Drosophila melanogaster: one gene and its partner. The protein of the gene in region 2 interacts with the protein of the main gene of each other region in a pairwise test. Each region holds a gene or a part of one and is shown on either strand. Other genes may lie near its edges.

Region 1 (4,178 bases), on a different chromosome or scaffold from region 2:
AATTTACTTTAAACTGAAAAGGAAGTGGAACCTGAATGGTAGCAGCAGGCTGAAAAACAAAGCTGAAACTGAAAATCGAAACCGAAATGAAATGTGGGGAAAATTAAGAAGAAAACGCTAACAATAAATCTTTTGGCAATAGAAAAAACAAAACCTGCCACAAAAAAGGCCCAAAAAGCCTGTTCACAAAATTGACTTTCGAACACAATTTATTTTTATATTTTTGTCTGCTTATTTCGATGTTATTTTTTTTTTTTGTTTTACCAAATCGCTTGAGAGTTTTTCTAGCCAGCGATTTAATAACCCGAATAAAGCCCCAAATAAAAAACAATGAAAAATTAATGTACGATCCATTCAGGTTCATCATCGACACGAGATCGAACCGCAACCGGGGAAAAAGCCAAAGGGAAAGGCGGCTGGCTCAGAGTGTTTGAAGCGGGCTGTAAGGCTTTGCTTTGTCGCCACTTTAATTGGCTCAAATTAAAGACGAGCTGGGATTGGGTTTTAATGGCAACGTCTGTCGGGTAAGGGGTGGTGGGAGGGGGGGAGGTGGAGAAGATGCAGCTGCAGTTTAGAGGCGTCACTTTATTCCGCTGATTAATGAAGAAATTTCCCCTGGAAGCTTGCCGCCTTGTTAACGACTTTATGTGTGACTATTCGCAAATAACAAAATGAGCGAGGTGAAATTAAATTTTACAAAATGTCCCATAAAATAATCAGTCAGCCATGGAAACCACTGGGGTCTGCGGACAACTTTAGTTGCTATAAAATGTGTAAAATGGAAAGTGCTGACCACGAAAGGGTGTTGGGTACGTAATTTTTACGAGAATTATTTCCTTGATGTAGGAAAAAACATGCATCATTTAATTGTAAGTATAAAAATTAAGCCAGTCCCGATGGCATGACCCAAAAGTTTATCCTCGCTCTATACCAGAAAATAAAGATAAGTTCGATTTGGTTGGCAATTTATTTATGTCGGGTCAATTTCTAATGGGGTTGTGCTACAATAATTTAACCATGGTAGATGTGGTGTCCATAGGTGGGAACAGCGTAGGACTTCAGCACAGGGACATGCTGAACCACTGGGACATTTTTCACCACCGGAACATGCTGCACCACTGGAACATGCTTCACCACCGGAACAGATTTCACCACGGGCACCACCTGGGCCACAGGAACCACTCCGTAGGAGGGCTCAATGTAACCAGGAGCAGCAAAAGCCATTGCTACCAGGGCGAAGATTACAGCGATCTAAGGAGATATTTTGTAATATGAAAAATCCTAAGGATTTACTTTATAATTTCGTGAACTTACAATGCGGAACATTTTGGTATTTTGTTGTGAGTTAAAAACTTTAACTTGTGGTTATCGAACGTTTGTGTTAGCCGGACGACTGTTGTTGATTGACCATCCGTGGAATCATTATATATAGTAGTTAGCACCTCAGCCGAAAATAGCCCACAAATGACTTCTGTTCGAACGCCACGCGCCAAACCAGTTTAATTATCTTAAATTTGGTATCTTCGAATAATGCGCATTCTATTTGGTATGAAACCATCTCCAGCGGCGAACTTCCCGTTATCGGTCGTTATTGCTTAACCTTTGGACATAATCCCCATTCAATGACTTCTCAATTGTTTGCTGTTTTTAGATCCGTGTGCTTATTATTGTTTACTTCCAAGACCATTGTCATTATATCGATCGTCTTCACGCGTTTGTGATGATCACCAAGAACCAAGGTCATGTCCACAAAAAAAGACCTATATGAGGCACCTTTGGGTCAACTGATAAATCCATTCTCTCAATTAAACAGAAGAATTATGGCCAAACACGTTTGCCCATTTAGAAGTTGTTATTGAAGTGATTTTTGGCTATATAAAGTAACTGATCCATTGGTCAGCATCACCAGTCGTCCTACAAGCATCCAAGTGACAATATCTCCAAGTCAAGTTTGTAAATTACTAAGAAAATACCAAAATGTTCCGCATTGTAAGTTCACGAAATTATAAAGTAAATCCTTGTGATTTTTCATATTACAAAATATCTCCTTAGATCGCTGTGATCTTCGCCCTGGTAGCAATGGCTTTTGCTGCTCCTGGTTACATTGAGCCCTCCTACGGTGTGGTTCCTGTAGCCCAAGTGGTGCCCGTGGTGAAATCTGTTCCAGTGGTGCAGCACGTTCCGGTGGTGAAGAATGTCCCAGTGGTTCAGCATGTCCCTGTGCTGAAGTCCTACGCTGTTCCCACCTATGGACACCACATCTACCACGGTTAAATTTTGGAAAGAGCTCAATCGATATCGCACGGGAATAAATAAAATGTTTATGCTTGTAAAAGGAATCATATTTGACTTACTTGTCTCAAATCAAATGCACTTCAAATGAGTTTACAACTTCTGTGATTTATTCGCAGTATTTGCAGTGTGTGCGGATTATTTTCTCATGTCCCGCCGAGTTTTTGTATCCAACAACCCATTAAGAGCTGCAACAGAATTTTCTTCGGTCTGGTCCGATCGGAAATTTTTACGCAAGCCGTAAATGCGCCAAAATCTGGAACACAAATACGTTTTTCTCTGTTTTCGCGTTAGGGGCTTTGTAGTTTATTTGGTGCGGATCGAGTGATAAAAGCCAAATGTGCGCCTCGTTCCAGGCACCCAAAAGATACGGAGATTGAGCAGTTGCGTGGAACACATTTGGCAGGCTGTTCGCTGGTGAATTGACTCTTTGCACCGACTGAAGGTGATTAATGGACGCCAAGAGGAGCGGAGCGGAGTGGAGTTCAGTTGCGAAGAGTTGAGAGTAGCCGTACGATACTTCTTAAACGGTAGTTAAAATCTAACTAACACGCGAGAGAAAGAGTTTGCGTTTGCAGAGTTGGCTGATGAAAACGCTTGCGGCTGGCATTGAAGACTTCTATAAAATGGAAAGGGGGAGGCTTTTCTTGCTGACCCACTTTTGGCAGACAGAAAAATGTATTTGCCTTTGCTGACTGGCTTGGCTGGGCACTCCAAGAATTGTTAACAGCAATTTAGTGGTTATTCGCTTCTTCTTCGGCTGCTAAGTGTATTTTATTGTTCGCCAATTGCTGTTGTTGTCTTGTTAACGCTTTTTATAGCCGCCTTTTGCTTTTCGGCCAACTCTATTTGTCGAGTCTTTCTCTCCATGCAGATGTATCCCACAGATACATTCATTAACTTGTTTGCAGTTACAGTTTCCCTGTTTCCCCTCGCCGGTGATTTATGCTATCGCCAGCGTTTGTTCGTATATTTAGACATTTCCTATGTGTTGTCACCTCAATTTTTTCCTGCACTTGCTCAACTTTTTTATTTTAATTTTATTTTTAGGCTAATTAAAATAATCAGGTAATTGTGCAGTTATGAGTTATGTCTCAAGTCGGCGGAGAAGAGGAAGATTGTGTGAACATGGCAGACCTCAAATCTCGTTATGACTATGAATATGCATTGGCGCTTGATGAGATCCCCTTCCCCATTTTGTGAAGAAGTTAAAGGCGTGCCCAGGCAATTAGTTTGGAGTTGGGCCCTTCCATAGAAACCTTCAGGGCTATTTTGGCACGTTGTCAGGAGGTGGAATGCTGGAATCAGGCGTTGACTTCGGGCGAAACTTGTTCTCCACACCCAGTAACCATTGAATATAACAGGGCTCTCTAGTTAAGATGGGCTCATAAATAGAATAAGTTACAGGCAGCTTTTGACTTTAATAGTTCGCACTTTAATGGATGTTGAAGGACTATGAACGAGTTCGATGAGATCATGATCCTGTTTTAACTATTAAAGTTTTTGAAAAGTTCAATAGCATTCATCACTTATTTTACTTCCATTGAGTAAAACTTAAAGCCAAAACCTGAGCGAATTTTCCTCCCCATCTCTCAGTCAGATATGTGATTGATTTTCCAATCTTTCTCCACAAAGTCTTTAAGAGCACTCCGGCCTGGCAAACTGGACTTAACGTCGATGTCATCCATATGCTTGTGGCGCGGCCGACAAATAGCAAATAAGGGAAAAACTTGTCAGCCTCGCACACGTTTCCTTCTTCTGGCTTTGGATGGCTTCTTGGAAAAGCGGGGCCAGCACAAGAATCTCTTCTATTTCCTTGGGAAATATCTCTGGCATTCGTGTTGTGCGTTGTCTTTGATTCTTATATATCGAGCTGGGATTCTGGT
Region 2 (8,825 bases):
GGAATGTGTGAATTTAAATAAATATCCGTGAATTTAACTTGGTGCGGCTCTTTTTAGTGCGCCCCCAAACGTGCCCATGTTCTTGGTTTTTTTTCGACTTTTCCGTGCGCCTTGTACTAACATGGACCTATTTCTCAATCACCAGGTATTAGCCGCGATAGTGCACACAAACGCCGGGCCACCGGAGGCAAGCGCAAGTCGCTCCGCAAGAAGCGCAAGTTCGAGTTGGGACGCCCCGCCGCCAACACCAAGGTAAGGATAATCTCCGGATAATCGCAATGGCGTGTATTCGAATGCCAGGGTCCAGTTTCTCATACTCCCATTAAGTTTTATTGGTCGGTGCCGAAATGTGTGCTTGAAAACCAAGCACATTTTCATTGTTTTTATCTTACCATCGTGACTTGGATAGTATACACATGGTTTTTATGTCGTACGATTGCGATTGTTTTCAATGATCGTTATACCATGTTTTATTTTAAGAGATTGTTTACATGCCTATCTAAGTTTAAGTTGGAATTCACCGACAAATCTGTGAAAAGTATGAGATAATTGGTCCTAATATACAAATGCAATGTTAAATGATGTTAACGCGTGTCAACTGCAATTGTGCTCTCGAGTACTCTTCTTGATGATTGAAAAGCTTTATGTTCGGACTACTGATAAATATATCGTTCCCTCCATAAGGTCTCCCGTCTGTATGCCCGGACTAACTCTTGAACTCATTTTTTCAGCTTGGCTCCGGCCGCGTGCACAAGGTGCGCACCCGTGGTGGAAACACCAAGCTCCGTGCTCTGCGCCTGGAAACCGGAAACTTCGCCTGGGCCTCCGAGGGAGTGGCGCGCAAGACCCGTATCGCCGATGTTGTGTACAACGCCTCCAACAACGAGCTGGTGCGAACCAAGACCTTGGTGAAGAACAGCATCGTGGTCATCGATGCCACGCCCTTCCGCCAGTGGTACGAGGCTCACTACGTGCTGCCCCTGGGACGCAAGCGTAACCCCAAGCACGCCCAGAAAGAGGACGAGAACGACGTGCTGACCAAGAAGCGCAGCGAAAAGGTTATGAAGAAGTACCTGGAGCGCCAGAAGTACGGCAAGGTCGAGCAGGCCCTCGAGGATCAGTTCACCTCCGGCCGCATCTTGGGTGTGTATTCTTTCTAATTCATGATTAATGATTTTTGTTATAGTGATGTAAAAACCCTAGCGATCCAGCTACTTTATTGTGTTGATCTTGTTTTAAGAGAGACGCAAGCCTGTTGGGTGTGATTCTGCTTGTCATAGTTACTCTGATCAGACCACTAAACTTATACTTTTCCATTTACTGGAAGCCCCGCTCTAATTCCCTGTTATTTTTCCTTTCAGCTTGCATTTCTTCCCGCCCCGGACAGTGCGGTCGCTCCGACGGCTACATTTTGGAAGGCAAGGAGTTGGAATTCTACCTTAAGAAGATCAAGTCTAAGAAATAAAGGCACTAGATAAGCTTGCAAGACATGATTTGCAAACAAAAACGGAATAAAACAACTTGTTTTTTATAGGAAGTGCATTTTTCTGATTTTGTTCTTTAATTTTCCTGCTGACAAAGAAATGCAGCCCAAATAGTGGACGCTTTTGTTACCCAAATAAAGTCCAGATAAAAGATAAGAATGTTCGTGGATAGTGGAGGGCAAAGGACTCTCCCTTAAATGTCTATTGAATTTTCGTTTCATAAGTATGATACAGTAATACGTAATCATTAATAATAGTTTAAATATCATTCATATTGGCTATAATTACATAACGCAGACAGGATGTCGAATCCCATAAAGTACAACAAATTCATGTTAATTTAAAACTGCCAATGACAATCTTAGAACAAACTAAAAACTGCTTTCAATTTTCTTCTTATACTGCTGTCAGCTAAAGTTCCTAGTGTTCGAATAGCATGGTCATCACGGCCATTAACGCAATGCCAAATACCAGTGCTAGCAGCTGCTTAATGGACTCCTTGCGCTCCTCCTCCTTCAAGAGATCAGGTAATACTGTGACCAGAGCAATGTGCAGAAAGCCGCCGGCGGTGAACGGCATAATCCACGAAGTACGTGCCTCTGTAAATGTAAAGATAAGTTTGCTTGTTTGTCACACGGAGAGCCCATTTAAGCTTACCCATGGCCGACGTTACGCCGGAGCCTCCGATGGCCACCAGAGCACCGAGCAGGCCAGCTCCCGCCGTGAGTAGTTGCGCACGCGCGGCGTCCCAGCGACTGAATCCGGATCGAAGCAGGATTGCGAAATCCCCCACCTCGTGCGGAATTTCATGAACTGTATGTAGGGAAATAAGTGAGGAACTATCCTATGTTTCAATAGTATCTATAAGTACTTACGCAATATGGCAAAAGTGGCTAGAATGCCGTGTCTGAAGGACACCAAAAAGGATCCAGCCACGGCTAGACCGTGTGTGAAATTGTCAATTGAGTTGGCCAAGAGGTTCAGATAACCAGCCACCTTCTTCGGCTGTTCCTTCCTTTCCTTTGACTTCTGTTCCTGCTCGCGTAGGAAACAGACTTTACCTACATCTTCGATGTCGCAGGCGCCGCCACAACTCTCAGAGGTTTCGCCCTCTGGTAGTTGGCCGCCATGTCGACGCAACAGGCAGTTGGCTATCTCCACGCACTTGGGCTGAGGGTTCTCCTCGTCCGCGCTGGCATATCCGGAAAAGATTTTCTCCACGATCGTGAAGATCAGTATGCCGGAAAGTACCCAAAGGCCCGAGCGCAGGGATGGGTGACTAGAAGGATCTTTAGGAGGAAAACGAATATTATGGAGATGATTTCACAACTTGGATTTCCCCGCAACTCACCTTGATTATCGCCCTCCCAGGCTTCTGGCAACAGGTGAAGGAACACATCGCCCAGCAGACCGCCGACCGCGAAACTCAGAAGCACTCGCAGGAGTTTTGAATCTGCAGCTGTAGGGTGAGATGTGATTCAAGTTCAATTGATATACTTTTCGTACGCATGTGACTTACGATCTTTGTATCCCTCCTTAGCCATTTTCTCCTCCGTGGGAATGATGATCAGCGGGAATATGCCACTCAGTCCAATTACCACCGATCCCAGCAGGGAGAAAACCCATGGCGTGTACTCAAAGCTTTTGAAGTACTCGGGCATGTACTGGTCCATCAGGTTGGAGTATATCATGGCGATGTGTTCATCGAAGAAGCTGCTGTTCGTGGTCATTTTCGGCTGCCTTTTTACGGCTACTTATGCGCTGCTCTGTGCTGGAACTGGGTTGGGTTTCTTCAGTCACTGCTGCCTGCTCATGTCCAGTGACTTTCGGTGGAGTATGTGCCGTGATCGATGATGACTCGGCTAGTAAAGAAAATATAATTTAAATGGTTTAAGAAATGTCAGCACACACGTAAATTTTGATACAAATAGCCAGTTAAGCAAATGTTTCCCCAAATCCGCCACCTGGCAACAAAATCATTGAATAACTAGATGCGGTTCTTAGTATCAGACAGACGGTGATGCGAAAATCCTTTAGATATGGACAATGTCAGCCATAATCAATAAAGGGGCAGGGAAAAACTCTCTCAACTGCGCTCGTTGTCAGGTTCGATAAGCGAGTCTCTGTAAAATTTAATCATGGCAACTTAAGTGTGACTAGACGGCTTCATAGGGAACGGCAGTCAATCAAACTAAGACCATTGCCCGATAGCTACTCCATCAGGATGAGTAAGCGTGTCCTGCCTCACTATAACCAATAAAATATCAAATTGTTCGTTGTGGAACTTGTTACCCGTATCACAGCGAACCTGGTAGACTTTATCTAAAATGCAGGTACTTAAATGATAAATATATATTTGCCAATATGGCTTGTTCGAGTTCGAGCAATAATTAATTGGCTTTTTCCATAATTAATAAGCAATTTAGATGCAGTTAGTTAGTTTGAATGTGATTGCTTTCCAGGATTTTTTATTTTAGAATCTGCTGTACGATTAGTAGAAGAATTCTACTTGTAAATCAAACTTCTCTCGATCGTAAACTACTTTTATATCACTGCCACCAACCAAAACAGATTGTAAATTGGGCGAAAATTAATTTCCAAGCTCGATAACCGACGCTTCCAATGTGCAGAAACAGACTAAACGAATTTTCAGGAGACGCTGCTTCGGAACGCCCACGTCAAGATACTTTGTTTCCATTTGATTTCCGATTTGATGTGCACGATGCAGCTTAAACTGTTCACTTTGCCGCGATAAGATTACGATGGCGCTGGCACAATGGAGTGACATGATTTCGGCGGTTTTGCTAAGCGGCAATACTCCGCATGTGTATTGGGGAATCAAACTTGGAAGCGGACGAATGATGTCTAATCCCCGACAGAACGGGCAGAATGGGAATGCCTCGGAACTTCAGTAGCGAGATGCGAAATCAATCCGGTAAGCTATGGCTATACAATAACTATATACGTATATACTACACTCTTATCTTTCGCAGTGTCGTTGTCATTGAACTATCAGAAAGCAAATGAGCTAGATTAGATTTAGACATCGTGTAATTACTTGAGTTACCCAAAATATCTCTAAAGACTGAGACTAGGAGGCTGTATTAACTATCATTCAGTTCATCTGTTCCAATATTACAAATACTCTATGCGAACTATGACTGTTTCACGCTTTTATTGTTATTCTACTGTATTTGCCCTTTAAAGATTCGCAAAACAACAATAGCAAAGAGAGTCTTCTTGTTCAGATTCAGGTTTCTTTTAAATTAGTCGAAAATCGCTACTAGGAAGCCACTCAAGTTTGCTTTTACGGTTTGATCAGATGAGTAAATAATTCAATTTCGGCACAATAACTCGGGATTATCTGTTTAGCTGTTGCACTAATTGCTGTGTTTCTTGGGCGAGCCTTCACTGAAAAGACAGTTCAGATTAATTCCGGGAATCCTGTCAATTACACTCAGATAGTTAGTTAGTTATTCACGAATATGGCGAATCGCACAAGTACTTAATAAACATAATGTGGCACTATTTTGCTGGAAGACTAGAGGACAATAGATTCTTCTGCGATTTAAAGTTGATTTGTGGCGTGAGGTATTTGTATACTGCCAACTGTTAACACAATACCAGTAAACTATATCACACTTGAGCGTTGCTAATGCGGAAATTTATGCTCCAAGCTCCACAATTCGTGTGTTATCGCGTCGGTAACTGAGCTCGTTGTGGTGCAATTATCGTCTTCTTCGCCTTCTTATAGATGAATTGAAAAGAAAATATAAACAGGGGACTCCAAAGCTCGTGCTATAAATACAATTTGGCGTAAAGATGCAATTAAAAGAGTTGCTAGCTCGCCAATCACTTGTGAATCATTATTGTCGCCAGTAGGGCCGCAAACTTTTGAATGGATCATCAAAATGGCAGAGATTATTTTGCACGCTGCACTAAAACTGGGACATGGCGTAGTGAACATGCTTTGATTATCAATCAAAACGTGCGGGGCAAACAATCCGAATGAGAAACTTGGTCCCTTGGGTGATAAGGAGTGTGCCCGAGCAGATATAAAGAAAGTATAGATAAAGGGAATTCATCAACAAAGAATATTAAAGTGTATGGCATGGGAAAAAGGAAACTTGGTACATTCCCGAGTTTTAATCGAGCTTCAGCTTTGCTGCACTAGTCATAAATAGATTTGTCACCCTTGTAAATCACCTAGAACACCGAAGAAAGTTCTTTGTTCCGATCAGGGTACTATGTGCATATGTCTACACCCACAACCGAGCACTGAGTATCACATGGCTTTGAGTTTGATTAACCAGCATACGGAGAAGCAAACCCTTCGATTCTACATTATTAATAAACAAGATTGAAGCCGCGAAACCAGTTTGCCAAACAAGTTATCATTGTATTGTTGTTCAACAAAGTCTAGTCCATTTGTTTTTCTATATACATACATACATATATGTACCGCTGATAAAACGCAATACGCTCAATATGATTATAGTGTTCAGAGCACAGATTCGAGATTAGATTGAGTACTGTTCAAAATTACTCAAATATGGCCGCTATTAGTGACGTGCAGATGATAATCTTACACTAGGTTAGTTATGCGGCATATCAAGAGATCTATGCGGAAGTTGGAAGTTTGCTCAAAAGAAGTATCGTATCATGTACTTCTAAAAATTCAACACATTTTTCGAAAACGTCTCTGATGCTTTTATTTGAAACCGCACGATAAAACAATGGAATTATCTACAGAGAAACATATGTACTTTGTACATAACTGATAAGCAACACCAGCTGAGTCGATTTAAGCACTTATGTTTTCATCTTCTAGATCCTACATTCATGCATATAGTATATAGTTTTAATGGATTAGGATCTCTTTCACCACAAAGCGAAATGTCACATAATCATTAGGTGGCTGCCATTAAATACCAGACTTTGTCTTCGAGCCCGATTTCAGATAATCGGTTGGGATGGGTGTGCAGTTATTTTTACCGTTATTCAGCTGTAACAGGAACGGGTTAACGTGCTCTTATCACTTTTATAGCAGGGAATAAAACCCGAAACTTTCGATTTTTGCAGTGGCGAAATTGTATGATAAATTACTTTTCTATTGCGTAGTAGCGATCATTGGCACCCGATGCTTTTTTTACTGCGAAGTAATTGCGTGAATTTACGTTTATTTCGCCCGGGCTCTGCGTGGGTTAAACGTACGCCTGGCCTCGCCTAACTCGAAACACGGGCTTAATGTTGATGTCGTCGCTCCGCGCGTCGCTTCACTAACAGTTACAAGCTCGCCAAAAACACATGCATTTATACATTTGTTTACTTTGTTCGAGGGCCGTGCGGAAAATACAATAACAAAGCAATATGGTGCATTTCGATAGCGGTGGCAGTCCACAATCAAAAATGTCGGTTATCGATAACAGGTTGAATTTTATCTTAGCAGAGATCCCAACAATGGTGGGGGAGCTTGATATCAGCTGTGTGACTACCAGTGATCGATAATTAAATACCATAGTAAAATTAGGCACATATATGTAGAAATCCGACTTATGTAGAAAATATTTAAATGCCCCCTATTGCCTCAAATACGTTATTTTCAAAGCGAGATGTAGGAAATTAAAAATTTTGTATATATATATTTTCGATTTAATATTGGAATATAAACATAAAACATTAGGTTTTTGTATAAATTTAATACAGTGTATAAATTTAAAATACGCGCGGACTCTCGCCGCATTTTTGCGTGTCACGAGCAAGCACGACCAATAGCCCATCGCTAGTTCAATCGATTGCTTATTAATCATACTTGACGCAATCGAAATCATTATTGCATCTTTGACACCACTAGTATTTACGCGTATCAAGCGTAAAAACTCAATTAACAATTGATTAGGAACTAAATTAGCAGTATAATTATGTGTAATAAAACGCAGGCGATAGCAACATGTTAAATGCAGTGCATTCAGCGCTAGTGCGGCAGCGAGTGACGTCACACGAGTAGAAAGCAACAAAGCAACAACAACAAAAGACAGTGGGGCGCCGCAGCAACAAAAGGGAATCAATAACAAAAAACCATAGAGAAAATCGTAATTTGGTGGATAATTTGCATACGATTGGGTGGTTAGATAACGCCGACAACCCATCACAAACGCACAAATCACGAAATGAGTAAGCTGGAAACGGATTCGGACAGTTCAGAGGAGTTTTTCGATGCCGAGGACACTACGCCCAATCGCCATTCGACTTTGTGGTAGGTTCTTGTGGCTTACCCCGTAAAAATGTTTAATTAATCCCTGGCCATTTCAGTCGAAAGCTGCCGCCCGAGGTGGCCCAGGAGTTCATCTTTCCCGAGCCCGCCGTGAGAGTGAATGCCGCCGCCTCATCCGACAGCGATGCTACGCCCATTGGCGCTGGAACGCCCGCCACCCGGAGTCCCACTAATAGCCTGGGTGCCCGGCTAAAGCCGCAGGATGCAGGGGTCTTCGTTGAGCCCAAGCCCGTGATAGGACCTGTAAGTGAATGGGGTCCACATGGAGTGCTCTTACTTCCGTTTTGCTAGACCCAGTTATGATGTCATCTACTAGGGTAACGATCCATCATCAGTGGCCTTGGAACACCATTCCCACGTGTGAAAGCCCTCATTCAGCTCATATGTCTGGTGGTGTAATTTGTAGAAGGTTTACTACCATGTGAAGCTTAAATTTATGGCTAAATTTTTAAAGCGGTTAAAAACTGCGCTCTGTCCAATGTCTGTGATCATCATGTGCAGTTTTTTCATTTATTTTGTTCTATTTTAAACACTAGTGGATGAGATATATGTACAATATTAGGAACCATTCGTTTGGTAAAGCAAGTATATTTTTATGTTTAGGTCTTTATTATTGTTGTTCCTTATCTTTCCACATATAGATGGTCATATACCTACCATTTCGCGCCAACTTCCCATAGTTATTATCAATGCTCACAGCCATACATTTCTCAACCGCTCCCTTAGCGACATTTAAAAACTGTCACTGCCTTAGAAATTGATTAAAAACCGATATGATACGGTTTATGGAATTTACCTAGTCTTAATTAGCAAGAGAACATTTATTTCAAGGTGTAAAGATAATGGCAGGTTTTGAGGTACTGCATTTACCCCTATCACACGTTTTGCATCATCACTGAAAAAATTCGTTCATGATTACTTAGCAGTTGCACATCTGCCAACCTATGGCCACATTTGTTGTTTCATTTTTCATAATCCTGGGCAGGTGAACTGCAATTTTTTAGAATTGGGTGATTTTTAGTTCTTAATAGCCAAAAAGCACAATCTAATGAACAAAAACCAAATCA

What was found.
Region 1: the proteins of Zip99C (region 2) and CG34268 interact in a two-hybrid assay, tested with the Drosophila melanogaster proteins (one large-scale study listed by BioGRID).

The regions. Positions count from the first base shown.
Region 1 is NT_037436.4:498,173-502,350, reverse strand, and holds CG34268 (uncharacterized protein), read right to left. Parts: upstream 1,387-4,178; 5' UTR 1,327-1,386; coding exon 1,315-1,326; intron 1,252-1,314; coding exon 1,012-1,251; 3' UTR 951-1,011; downstream 1-950. Other genes in the region: CG34267 (uncharacterized protein), read left to right, coding at 1,978-1,989, 2,053-2,274.
Region 2 is NT_033777.3:29,862,054-29,870,878, forward strand, and holds Zip99C (Zinc/iron regulated transporter-related protein 99C), read right to left. Parts: upstream 6,843-8,825; 5' UTR 6,480-6,842; intron 6,019-6,479; exon of another isoform or gene 5,937-6,018; intron 5,765-5,936; exon of another isoform or gene 5,691-5,764; intron 5,162-5,690; exon of another isoform or gene 5,127-5,161; intron 4,482-5,126; exon of another isoform or gene 4,463-4,481; intron 4,128-4,462; exon of another isoform or gene 4,048-4,127; intron 3,460-4,047; exon of another isoform or gene 3,347-3,459; 5' UTR 3,215-3,346; coding exon 3,004-3,214; intron 2,944-3,003; coding exon 2,836-2,943; intron 2,774-2,835; coding exon 2,360-2,773; intron 2,298-2,359; coding exon 2,142-2,297; intron 2,084-2,141; coding exon 1,905-2,083; 3' UTR 1,648-1,904; downstream 1-1,647. Other genes in the region: RpS8 (ribosomal protein S8), read left to right, coding at 146-252, 732-1,143, 1,362-1,465; CG34133 (uncharacterized protein), read left to right, coding at 7,655-7,740, 7,797-8,001. UniProt on the Drosophila melanogaster protein: Involved in zinc transport and homeostasis.